Oryctolagus cuniculus: one gene and its partners. The main gene of each other region encodes a partner of the protein of the gene in region 2 in a complex. Links are inferred from orthologs where the notes say so. Each region holds a gene or a part of one and is shown on either strand. Other genes may lie near its edges. The genes, in order: PARVA, LIMS1 and RSU1.

What was found.
Region 1: LIMS1 (region 2) and PARVA share a complex: the UniProt entries of both Homo sapiens proteins name them as parts of the heterotrimeric IPP (ILK-PINCH-PARVIN) complex. The link is inferred for Oryctolagus cuniculus from reciprocal best matches to the Homo sapiens genes LIMS1 and PARVA.
Region 3: the proteins of LIMS1 (region 2) and RSU1 are in contact, whole or in part, in a crystal structure (PDB 7LT9), measured with the Homo sapiens proteins. The link is inferred for Oryctolagus cuniculus from reciprocal best matches to the Homo sapiens genes LIMS1 and RSU1. Residues at the interface, in NP_001180417.1 of Homo sapiens: Cys252, Phe253, His254, Cys255, Asn256, Leu267, Asn268, Lys269, Ser279, Thr280, Cys281, Asn282, Thr283, Glu293, Phe294, Asp295, Met296, Lys297, Cys303, Lys306, Phe307, Pro308, Glu310, Leu311, Arg314, Leu315, Lys317, Leu318, Ala319; in NP_036557.1 of Homo sapiens: Asp21, Ser23, Asp24, Gln44, Val46, Ser48, His49, Val67, Asn69, Phe71, Asn72, His90, Asn92, Met95, Glu112, Asp115, Thr117, Tyr118, Arg137, Ala138, Tyr140, Ser142, Asp143, Ile161, Ser163, Arg165, Asp166, Glu184, His186, Gln188.

The regions. Positions count from the first base shown.
Region 1 is NC_091432.1:53,885,839-53,890,259, forward strand, and holds the start of PARVA (alpha-parvin), read right to left. Parts: upstream 2,830-4,421; 5' UTR 2,719-2,829; coding exon 2,583-2,718; intron 1-2,582. UniProt on the Homo sapiens protein: Plays a role in sarcomere organization and in smooth muscle cell contraction. Required for normal development of the embryonic cardiovascular system, and for normal septation of the heart outflow tract.
Region 2 is NC_091433.1:100,134,596-100,137,989, forward strand, and holds part of LIMS1 (LIM and senescent cell antigen-like-containing domain protein 1), read right to left. Parts: intron 2,225-3,394; coding exon 2,149-2,224; intron 1,955-2,148; coding exon 1,807-1,954; 3' UTR 1,762-1,806; intron 1-1,761. UniProt on the Homo sapiens protein: Within the IPP (ILK-PINCH-PARVIN) complex, binds to F-actin, promoting F-actin bundling, a process required to generate force for actin cytoskeleton reorganization and subsequent dynamic cell adhesion events such as cell spreading and migration.
Region 3 is NC_091444.1:42,900,045-42,903,690, forward strand, and holds part of RSU1 (ras suppressor protein 1), read right to left. Parts: intron 3,193-3,646; coding exon 3,074-3,192; intron 1,422-3,073; coding exon 1,339-1,421; intron 1,062-1,338; coding exon 947-1,061; intron 1-946. UniProt on the Homo sapiens protein: Potentially plays a role in the Ras signal transduction pathway. Capable of suppressing v-Ras transformation in vitro.

The DNA of each region.
Region 1 (4,421 bases), on a different chromosome or scaffold from region 2:
TTAAAGATTTTTGTTTATTTTAAAGGCAGAGTTATAGAGAGACAAAGAGGGAGAGAGATCTTATCTGCTGGTTCACTCCCCAAATGGTCACATCAGCCAGAGCTAGGCCAGACCAAAGCCAGGAGCTTCACATGAGTACAGGGGCCCAAGCACTTGTGCCATCTGCTGCTGCTTTCCCAGGTGCATTAGCAGGGAGCTGGATCGGAAGTGGAGCAGCCAGGACTTGAACCGGTGCCCATATGGGATGCCGGTGCCACAGAGGGCGGCTTTACCCACCACACCACAAGAATCTGCATTTCTTGTGCCACTCTGCTCCACCTGCACATTTCTGATCATGGCTAAGTCCCCCTACAATGACAGCTTCTGGCAGGCAGCCTCTCTTCCAGGACTCCAACCTCCTCCAGGTTCCAGTTGGCTTCACTTGCCCCTTGGGACCAGGAGTGGGAACAGCTCCTACCTATTGCTGGCCCACAGGTGTAGCAGCCTCCCTTCTTGGTTCCCTTAACCCTGCCCACAGCTAGGTCAACAGTCTCTTCACTAAATTATTTCCAAAATCCCAACTATATTGGCCTTTTGCTTCCTGCAGTGACCTTGATTCCAACTGAAGAGGCAGCATACCAGAGGGCCTTATAAACCACATCCATTCTTTGAGGATAACTATAAGAGCAGAGGCTGTTTGCTTGGTTAAGGGAAGACTCCAGAAAGCAGGCTAGTCTACTTTAAAAAGATGAAAGGCCATCACGAGGTTCTTTCTATTCTCCTGGCCCCACTAACAGTAGTACAGAGAGATCAACGTTTGGCTAAATAGAAAGTCAATTTTCCTATAGAACTGGTCAAGATGGGGTGAGTATTCATGGTACATCTAAGTTTCAATAATTCTTAAGTCTACTCGTAAGCAGGATGAGCCTATACAAGAAAACTGGAGGAAAAACCTGGAAGGACAGTTCAGAGAGAGGCTTTCAAGCCAGGATTTCACGATTTGCCACCAACTGTATACTACTCAACAGGTTACCAAAATAGGAGCATGCACTTTCCAAGGCTTCAGTCTTACAAGCTGGAAAATTCCAGAAACAGTTCACACGTTTTATGTTGCATGTCATTCTACATACTGTGACAGAATCTCGGGCTGCCCCTCTCTGTCCCACTTGGGACATGAGTCATCCTCCTATCCAGCGTATCTGTTATGTATAAGGTACCCACTTATTAGTCGCTTAGCCGTCATCAAGGTCATCAGATCCACTGTCGTGAGGTCGACGCAGTGCTTGTGTTCCAATTACCCTTCTGCAGAAGCCTGACGCTCTATCCCCACGCCTGTGTCATTCACCTCACTTGATATCATCACACACGCATTGCAGCCCCTCACATAACCACACCAAGCAAGAGGATGAGAGACAGACCAGGTTACATAGCATGTATTACAACATTGTTACAATTGTGGCATCTACTGGTGCTAACCTCTTTTTAAGTTAAATGTCATCAAAGGTATGCCTGTATAGGAAAACACAGTATATATCCGGGGTTCAGTGCTATGTACGGTTTCCTCCATCTACTGGGGGTCTTGGACGCAGGTAGGTTTACAAGGACTACTGTAACCAGTAGTGTTTTACTGCTTCCTCCTTCGGTCTAGAGAATAGAAATCCAGTTCTTCAGGTCGACCTGGGTTCAATCTCAGCATTAAAGTTTTCACGCTTTAAGGTACCTCAAGAACATAAAACTTACTTTACATGTCAGCATCAAAGCTTTCCAAGAGGTTATTTCCTGTCCATGAGCAGTCTATAAAACACGCTTCCTAACCCTGCATCTCATAGCCACACACCTGTCACTAACCGCCTTCATGAGAACCGCTGCCTTATTTTCCAAACCACGACCAGGATGCTAAATCCACCCGCGAGACAAAATGCATTACATGCAAATTATTGTGGAAAAAAAAATTACGATCGCCTCAATTCACGCCTGTTGTGATTTCCCCGGATGAGAGTTTATCATTACTACACCGGGGGACCGCTAGGACTGCCAGTTCTCCACGCATTCATTCAGCAAACGACCGATGCTAACTAATCCCCCGCACCAACGCAGGCCTAGGGATGGACGACAGGGCCGCGGGGGCCAGAGCCGCCAGGCTGCTGCAAGAGGACTCCACAGGAAACGGCCAGATTGCAGACCAATGAAGGCAGAGCGCGAGCGTGACGGCGCCCAGGAAAAGTTTCAGCGGAAACTTGGGAAATGCCAGCTTTGGGGCGCGGAGAGGGCGGAGACACGGGCCTAGCGGCGGCGGCAGCAGCAGCCTACGAGCCGAGTCCAGGCCTGGGCTCCGCGTCCCGCCGCCTCCCGCTGTCTGCCACGCGGCGCGCGTCCGCGGCCCCGCAGGGGCGCCTGCCCGGGAAGGCAGCGCCGGGCGGCCGTGGCTAGGCGCCCGCGGGGCCGCGGTGCGGGGTGCGCCTCGCTCTCCCGCCCGCCGCTCCCGGGAAGCGAGCGCGCGCCCCACCACGCCGGGCACCCGCCGCGCGCTCCCGCCCGGCCCCGGAGCCCCGGCTCCTCCGGGCCCCGACCCGCGCAGCTCTCCCCGGCTCGGCCGCACTCACCCTCCTTGGCTTTCTTCCTCCGGGCCAGGGTGCCCCCGAGTTTCCCCAGGAAGGAGTCATCTTTCTTGCGGGACGGGGGCGACTTGGGAGTGGGGGACTTGGGGGCAGAGGGGGACTTCTGCGGGGAGGTGGCCATGGCGGCGGAGCGGGCAGCCGCGGGCCGGGCGGGACGCGGCGCTGGAGCTGAGCGGACGCGGCGGGCGGCGGCGGCGGGACTGAGGCTGCGGCTTCCCAAACGGAAGCGGAATTATTCCAAGCATTCGAAGCAGCTCACGCTCGCCTTTCCCTTCCCTCGCTCCCTCCCTCGCGCCGCCCTCCGCCCGGGAAGGCGCTGCCCGTGTCCCAGGGCTGCCCGGGGAGGGGAGGACGCCCCTAATTCGCCCCCCGTGGGGCAAGTGGCCTCATCTGTTAAGTGTATGCGTGGGCCCGTGTAAGCCTGCAGGCGGCGAGGGCTTTGCGTCCAGCACGCTCCCCGGCACACCTTGGGAGCTGCACCGAAGCTGGCCTGGGGCTGGGTCCCCACTTCCCGCGTGGCTATGAGTCCCGTAGCTTTTGCCCACCGAACACGGACAGCCACTCCGGCACGCAGCCGTGGCCGTCCACCTACAAGTGAGGCTCATGAGAGGAGGGTCAAGGTGCTCGTTCTTGCAAGAAATCTGGGTTTCTAGCACTTCAACAGCTTGTACAAAGAAGGGTCCCACATGTGGGTGGAAACGGGAATGGAAAAGGCTCAAGTATGGACTCCTGTGAATTCCACGACCCCACCCCCTCTTATCCCGCCTGAACAAAAAGAACAGTGATGGGGAGTGACACAACACAGCGCTCGGGACTCATCCTGGAAATGATTCAAAGGCACAAGCTTGTGCTTGCTCATCTTGAGTTCTCAGTGGGACTCTCAGTGTCTGCCTTTCACACACAGCCCCCTGGGCAACCGCGTCTCTTCCTCGTGGCTCTTGCCCCGTAGCTACAGCTGATGGAATCTGGGTGAACACCTGACCCACAGGGAACACCTGCCTGACAGCCAGTCAGGTGGCCCCAATCTGGAATCCGAGCACCAGGCTGAGGTTCAAAGCTGGGCTGCTCTTAGCACATGCATGCTGATGAGTAGAGAAACAAAAGCGTGGAGGAAAGAAAGCTCCGGAAGCCTTGCGATCCCAGCCAGTAATGGAAAACTGCGGGGAGCAGCCACCTGGATCCGGAGTCTCTTCCCAGCCCCCACTTGCAGGTCCCAGAGATCAGCTGTGCTTCCTTCCCAGGAGATGCGAATAAAGCAGTCTGATAACCCCCTCCACCTTAACTGGAGCCAATCAGCAAACTGTGCAGCAGCTGAAATTTAACCAGATGGTCTGTAGATTCTCGGCAGGGTACAGGTTCATCTTATCTGTGCTGCAGCGTCATAATTTTACCTTTTTGGAAAATGAGACTTTTGTTGCTCCCTTTGACTTGGTAGAAAGCAGAGAAGTCCTGATGTCTGCTGGCCTGGGAGGACTGCCATAAGCCTCTGCCCCGCTCCCCAAAGATCTTAAAGAGATAGTGAGAAGCCAAATAAAAGCATAGTTTTAAAAAAGATTTATTGGGGCAGGCGCTGTAGCTCAGTAGTTTAAAGCCCCAGCCTCTTCGAGTCCTGGCTGCTCCACTTCTGATCCAGCTCCCTGCTAATGCGCCCCGGGGAAAGCAGTAGAAGATGGCCCAAGTCCTTAGGCTCCTGCACACACATGGGAGACCCGGAAGAAGTTCCTGGATCCTGGCTTTGGATCAGCCCAGCTCTGGCTGTTGAAGCCATATGGGGAGTGAACCAGCAGATGGAAGAATTCTCTCTGTCTCTACCTCTCTCTGTAA
Region 2 (3,394 bases):
ATGTAAAAATGTTTCTTAATAGCACTATATGGTAGCATCTACATTCCTGTTAGTAAAGAACTGTAATTCCAACCTTAAATTCTTTCTGTGGTAAACGTAAAAAAATTCATAGTATTAAAAACTGTCCCCTAACAATGGGATCGCTTATCTGTGTAACACAGAATAATAATTTACATTACGTTTCACTCAGTGCTAAGTAAAGAGAAACCCAATGTAGACATAATTTAGGAAGTAGAGTAAACCACAATCTAAGGGCCATGAGAGCACGTTAAGGAACCCCTGCAACACCTAGGGCTGGGCCAGCACAAAGTCCCTCAGGCCAGGTCTCTCCCAGGGGAGGCAAGGACCCCAGTACTTGAGCAAGTGGAATCAGGACCTGAACCCAAGCACGCCCGTGTGGGATGTGGGAATCCCACGTGGCGCCTGCACCGTGGCCTCTGACACCTGCTCCACCCGCTCTTTAAAGCAGAGCAATACACACTTTGAATGCATCTGACCAAGCTGTCCTGGGGAAGACAGCCCATCTCACCGCATCTGACCAAGCTGTCCTGGGGAAGACAGCCCATCTCAGCCGCATCTGACCAAGCTGTCCTGGGGAAGACAGCCCATCTCAGCCGCATCTGACCAAGCTGTCCTGGGGAAGACAGCCCATCTCAGCCGCATCTGTAATGCACTTCCAGCAGGAAAGCACAGTGAGTTAGCACTGCTGGAATTCAGACCCTTTAGTTTTGAACTAAATACACATTTTATAACTTGTTCATTGTCTGTGAAATTGCACTTAGGGAGAGTTTGTGGAAACGTTCAGAGGTACACTGTCATCTAATACGTCTGGTCCAAGCTTTCATGCATTCTTCAGGGCTGGCGTTGTGGTACAGTGAGTTAATGCACTGCTTGTGACACCAGCATCCCCTCCTGGAATGCCTGCTTGAGTCCCAGCTGCTCCACGTCTAATCCAGCTTCCTACTAATGGACAAATGGGATAGCAGCAGAAGATGGCCCAAGTACTTGGATCCCTGCCACCCATGTGGGAGACCCTGGCTCCTGCCTTCCAACTGGGGCAGCCTAGGCTGTTGTGGCCATTTGGGGAGTGAACCAGTAGATGGAAAATGTTCCTCCCTCCCACCTTTTCTTCTCTCTAACTCTGCCTTTCAAATATATAAATAAGTGTTTTTTAAAAAATACCAGGAACAAGAGAGTTTGAAGACATCAAGGAAATGAATTCATAAACAGTGGCATATAGGCACTGTGTGAAGGGACATATAGCAACACCGTAAGAGTAGGTATGTACGACAATGAGATAGGACTTGGCTTGGATACAAAACATGCTGAAAGAATACAGAACTTCAAACACATGCACTTTTTTAAAACATCAAACAATATTTACGATTTATCAGTTAAATGTCTTCAGCCAAAAAACCAAAGACCAGGACTCTAAAAGCTGTGTTATTAGACTAAAATATTTTAAAACTTCTCCTACTCTCTGTTAAGAGACAGGAATTCTTCCCCTTGAAAGAAAAGTCCTCTCTGATGTATTGTAATTAAAAATAAATAAATAAATGAAAGGCGAGTGAGTGTACAGGCCGAGGGAAAGACATGAGCACAGCTGGTGATCAGTGCAGACCTCAGCCAAAGTGTCACCATGTTCATAGTCATGCAAAAGGGCAGATCCTGGAATTCCGGTCTCTGACGGCTGCACATACAGACCAAAAAGAAAAAAAAAGCGAAAGAAACAGAACAAAAAACACATTCTGAAGGACTAACCAAAGAGGAAAGTAGCAAAAATGATGACAGAAGGGATAGAAAAGTTTACAAACAGACTGGCTTTTTCTTTTTCTGCTTGTCCTTATCCTTTGCTTCTCTCTCCCGTCTGGCAAGTCGCCTCTTAAATTCTTCTGGCATTTTCTCATAACAGTGTTTGCAGACTGGCTTTAGATCAATTTCAACAAATTTATCCCTTTGAGTAGGACAAAGAAGGAACAGAAGAAAGAATAGCAAACAGTTAAAGGAAGAACCTTTACTTTCAGAAGGGCTGAAGAGAAAGGAGAAACAGATTAAACAACGTTTTTTAATTCTAGGAGTAGTTTTTAAAAAAATGTCTTCCCAAAGTTTTCAGTCTCAGGATTCACCTGGGACCAGCCATCGACTTACTTGAGTGTTAGCTTAGTGTTGCAGGTGGAACAGGCAAAGCAGTTCACGCACCAGGCCTTGTTAAGAGCAGAGACCACTAGAGAAAGAGCAGAGAGACCTGGTCACTGGAAGACACTGCCATGGAGAGCGGGAGCTTGCATGTTCAACTCCGGGAGCCATGGCCATTGCCAGCTGCGCTTGGAGGAGGCACTCAAGAATCTCTTTCTTGAGAGATTTTCTCTCAAGAGACTCACAGAGCTAAAATCTCGGGGTCATTAACGGAAGTGCACTGAATCAACCCATTTCTTGAACTTTTTTTTTCACATCATTTTCTTTAAAACACACACACACACACACACACACACACAGAGACACGTACACACGTACCCCAAACACTTATGTCTTCACTGACTTCAGGCATCCATTTAGAGCAGATTATTATGGGCTTGTCAATGTGATTGCCGACTTTCCCCTTAGGCATCCTGTGAGGTACATATATGTGTCCGCCACCTTGTCCCCCCCGCCCTGCGGACAAGGGAGCCCCACCCACATGCACGGTGCCACTCAGAAGAGCTTTCCTTGCACGGCACCTTAGACCATCACTCAGTCACGTCGCAGTCCCTGCTGCCACTGGTCCAACAGAGTCTGCAGAGTCTGTATTTTTAGGAAAATCCAGACATGAAATTGTTGGCAGGGACCTTTCCTCTAAAGCTAACATGAGAAAAGCGCTTCCTTGAAGGCTCCCTTCACCTCTCCACTGCCTCTGCAGGAGCGAGCCGAGTTTTATCCTCCGCGGCACTGCAGACGGTTTTCCTGCACTGACCTTCTCACAAGCCGCACCTGTGCAGTGTTTCGGGACGCACTTCCTGGGTTGGGTGAGGTCTGCTGAGAACCAGGAGGCGCACTGAAAACAGGATTGTTTCAAACTCTGCCAGGAAGTCTCGGGCAGAACTGTGCTCATGACTGAGCACACACAGCTGCTTCCTTCCCGCGGCAGTGCAGCCAGCCCAGCCTGGTTACTGCCGTGCAGGGTGGGAAGTCCTAGCAACACGGGCCGCGAACCACCAGGTCACAGCACGGGCGGGGCTCGAGCGCCTTCCTCATAGCCCTAATAAACGTGGTCTGAAAGCCTCCATGAACTGGCAACTCCAACAGGTCTTTGGGTCAGTCAGGAGCAGTTTCTATCACCATAAAGGAGGAAGGAATCCGATTCTGAGATGACGTCACCTCATGCTCTGGGAAACACGCCAGAGACACAGCAAAGGTA
Region 3 (3,646 bases), on a different chromosome or scaffold from region 2:
CTTAAAAGAAATGTCAGAGAAATATGACTACATACAGTATTTAAATAACAGAAGTGATGTAAGTTTTTAAAATGTATACACAGGCATATGTAGATTCTGGAAGGTATTTTTCTAACAAATTACTAACTGATAATAACTGTTTAATATTCTGCATTGCCTCATTGCTTGAAAAGTGAAACAGCAACAAAGACACATGTATTTTTCCATTTCTACCAACCACACTAACCAAAGGCACAGGTGAGAGGCATTAAATGGACTTTATCAAACTACGTGAGAATTTGTCTTACGCATGGAGGAATTGACTCATAGGGTTGGGATGGGGACAGGCACTTGTATTTGGCAAAAGCTCCCCAAGTATCACTAATGCTAACACCTGTGGCTAACAATCACTGTACAAAATCTGTTCTTTGACAAGAAGTTATTTGTCTCAAAATTTTTTTTGCAAAAGAGTTTTTCTTGATCCTGTACCCAGCTCCCAAAGTCAAAAAACTTAACCCTTGTAGCTCAATGAAGAGAAGATGTAGAGTTACTCCTCAGTCCTTAAAATCATAGAATAAAGCCCTCTGGACTCTGAACACCAGCAGAGAACTAACCTAAATGGGACAACTGGAGGTCAAGTTTCCCATTTGTCCCAGGAAATCAGGGGACTGCTTTTTCTTCATGAAGTGCTAGGCAACGGAACTGAGCAGGGAGCTGGGCTGGGCAGCTTTCAGCTGCAGTTTCTGAGATGCTGGATGCACAACTGCAGAACCCAGCACCCAGGCAGGTCAAAGGCAAAACAACTGAATGCTGGTCCATGACAAACGCTCTTAAAATGATCAGAATCGGATGCCTAGGTGGAGGGTATGTGCCAGGACGAGGAGAGAGCTTGTCACAATCACTGCACTTGGATGATCATCATTAATTACACCCAGACCTAAGATCATTCACCGGCAGCCAGCCTTACCTAATTCTGGGGGCAGAACAGTCAGGCGGTTCCCCTGAATGTGGAGTTCCTTAAGCTGCGTAAGTTCCCCGATTTCTTTAGGCAGCGAGATCAGGTCGTTATCCCTAAGGCTGAGCTGAATACAAGAAAAGAAGGAGTTGTCAAAACAATTTCACATAAAGAGGTGCTCAACAGAAACTCCCGTCCTCTCCCTAGCCCTCTCCTCTGCCTCTTCGGAGGCTCAAGCCTTTCAATTTATTTACAAGTGTCTGCGGCTAAACAAGAAGCAGTAGCAGGAGTTGTGGTTTATTCCTGCAAAACCAACCTTACTCCTGCCCAAATTGACTTGATTCTACTCCTACAAGGGCTGTAGAAGTGAATTGATTTTCTAAGAATTTAGATAAATTACTTACTATCTGCAACTTTGTGAGCTTCCCAATATCTGCTGGCAGGATTTCAAAATCGTTGTCACTTAGATAGAGTGCACGCAGGGTGGCTGCAAATTAAACAGCAATATATAAACAGGGTGGCATGGAACCCAACCATTTGAGGTCTGATCAATACTAGGGAGTCAGCTTTGATTAATAACCCTGGCTTGGTGAAAAGCCTCTGACATACCTAGGGCTCACAATAATAACAAGCAGGTCAAACTTAGATTTACTGGCTTATTGTGTTGCTGGTATAGCCAGGAAAACATCTATATCCAGGAGGACTGACACAATTAACAACCATGGGCAGCGGCAGTTTTTGGCAAAGAGTTTGAACGCATTTTAAGAAAAGATGGCTACTTTTCCCTATTACTTCGCATTCACATCTCTGACTCCATTTGCATTCACAAATCTTACAGCAGTCCCTACAGCAAAAGGGCTCTTTCATGTAAACAGAACTATGTTAAAATAAAACTTTCTTATGTATACAGAACCAGTGTTAGAACTAAATATATAAATGAAAAGTTTTGCTGGGTGCTTATTTAAGCCATCCTCACAGTCCAACATTTCTGTAAACAGATTAATTATTATTATATAATTCTACAGCCTTAATGACAAAATATATTAAGACAAAGGGAATAAAATAATGGTATCAGGTAAACAGAGTAAAGCCAAAGTTCAGCAGAATATAAGGAGTCACTTTGTTCAAAACATTATGTGTTACTAACATGATCTCAACCTGCTGGTGGGGGGGCAGAACATTGATCTCAACCCAAAATGGGAAGTAAAAGTAGTTGTATACTTTTGTTTAATTTGTTTACAGATATTTAAGTAATTCTGCTGGTTGAAAATTCAACACAGCTGTATGTAATATACATAGCAAAGGCAGTTTTTATACTATGGCTCAAGAAAATATTTTAGAGTTGGTTTCATATGCTTGACAAAGTCTGGGAGAGATAACAGACACAGGTTAAAAACATAGGTACAGAGAGAATGTACTCAGATAAAAATTACACAGGTAATTTTAGAGACTAGCTCAGAAAATTAGAAATTTCTAGATGTCATATACGTCACTATTTAGAGAAGTAGAATATTCATTTAAAAGAATTAACTCTTTCTGAAATATCTCATGAATTCCTGGAAAATTAGTTATTCTTAATGATGAGGAGCATCAACAGCAAGACATTCACTTGCCCATGAATGATGAAGTGTGTTCTTTTTATTTTTTGAATCGTGTCCTGGACAATATAGACTAAATCAATGAGAGTACTTATATACTTAAAATAAGAATCTTGACTAGAAAATTTTTAAAATTCCAATAGCAGTTTATTAATGGATAGTTTTATAATTAATTGATTATAATATCTCAGGGCCAATCTACAAAGCTTTTTAGCAACATGGGAAAGCTTCTTTTTGGCATGCTCTTTAAAAAGAAAGTCAAGTTTCTTAACTAAATGTGAGACTTGCTCTCATTTAGATACATAATCTCCCACAGAAAGTGAGTATGACATTACTAAGTCCACTTCAGCCCCATGGTGTCACACACCCATATATCAAACATACATACTGCTGAGCTATGAAGGAATATTCAAATGGAAGCTGTGAAGAAAAAAATATATATCCAATCATTTCTCTTAGCGTTTGGGCCTGGCAAATAAATTTCACTCTTAGAACGCAAAGTACCACGTTAAAGAGATTTATAGAATTAAAAGTTTCTTACTAAGGTAGAAGAAGTTTCCAGGAAGAGAATTTTCATTCAAGTTGTTGTAAGTCAAGTCCAGGACTTCAAGAGCTGGTAGGGAGCCAAATCCTCGAGGCAGAGTATTCAGCCTATTCATGCTGTTGTTGGGGGGAAAAGCCGGTCATCACACACAAAATATATACTGGGATCACCTCTATCTCATGGGCGGAATACATAACACAGTGCTTTGTGACTGTAGAGTTACTTTGTGTGAAATTTTTAAACTTTTATTTTAATTGGCAAGTCTAAATTGTATATATGAATGGTATGCAATATAGCATTTTGATTTATATATACATTGTGGAGAGGCTAAATCAAACCTAACATTTGTATTACCTCATATATTTGATCATGTTCTGGTGGTGAGGACACTTAAAATCCACTCTCTTTAGAAAGACAACATATATTGTTATTAACTATAAATATGGTGACCACGATGTACAAAATGAGGGTACTTCAAAAAGTTTATGGATAAGTTTACAGACATTGGTCTAGAAGATAAGAAGGCTTCCATTTTGTACATCAAAGTGGATGATTTCGATTCCCAGCTCC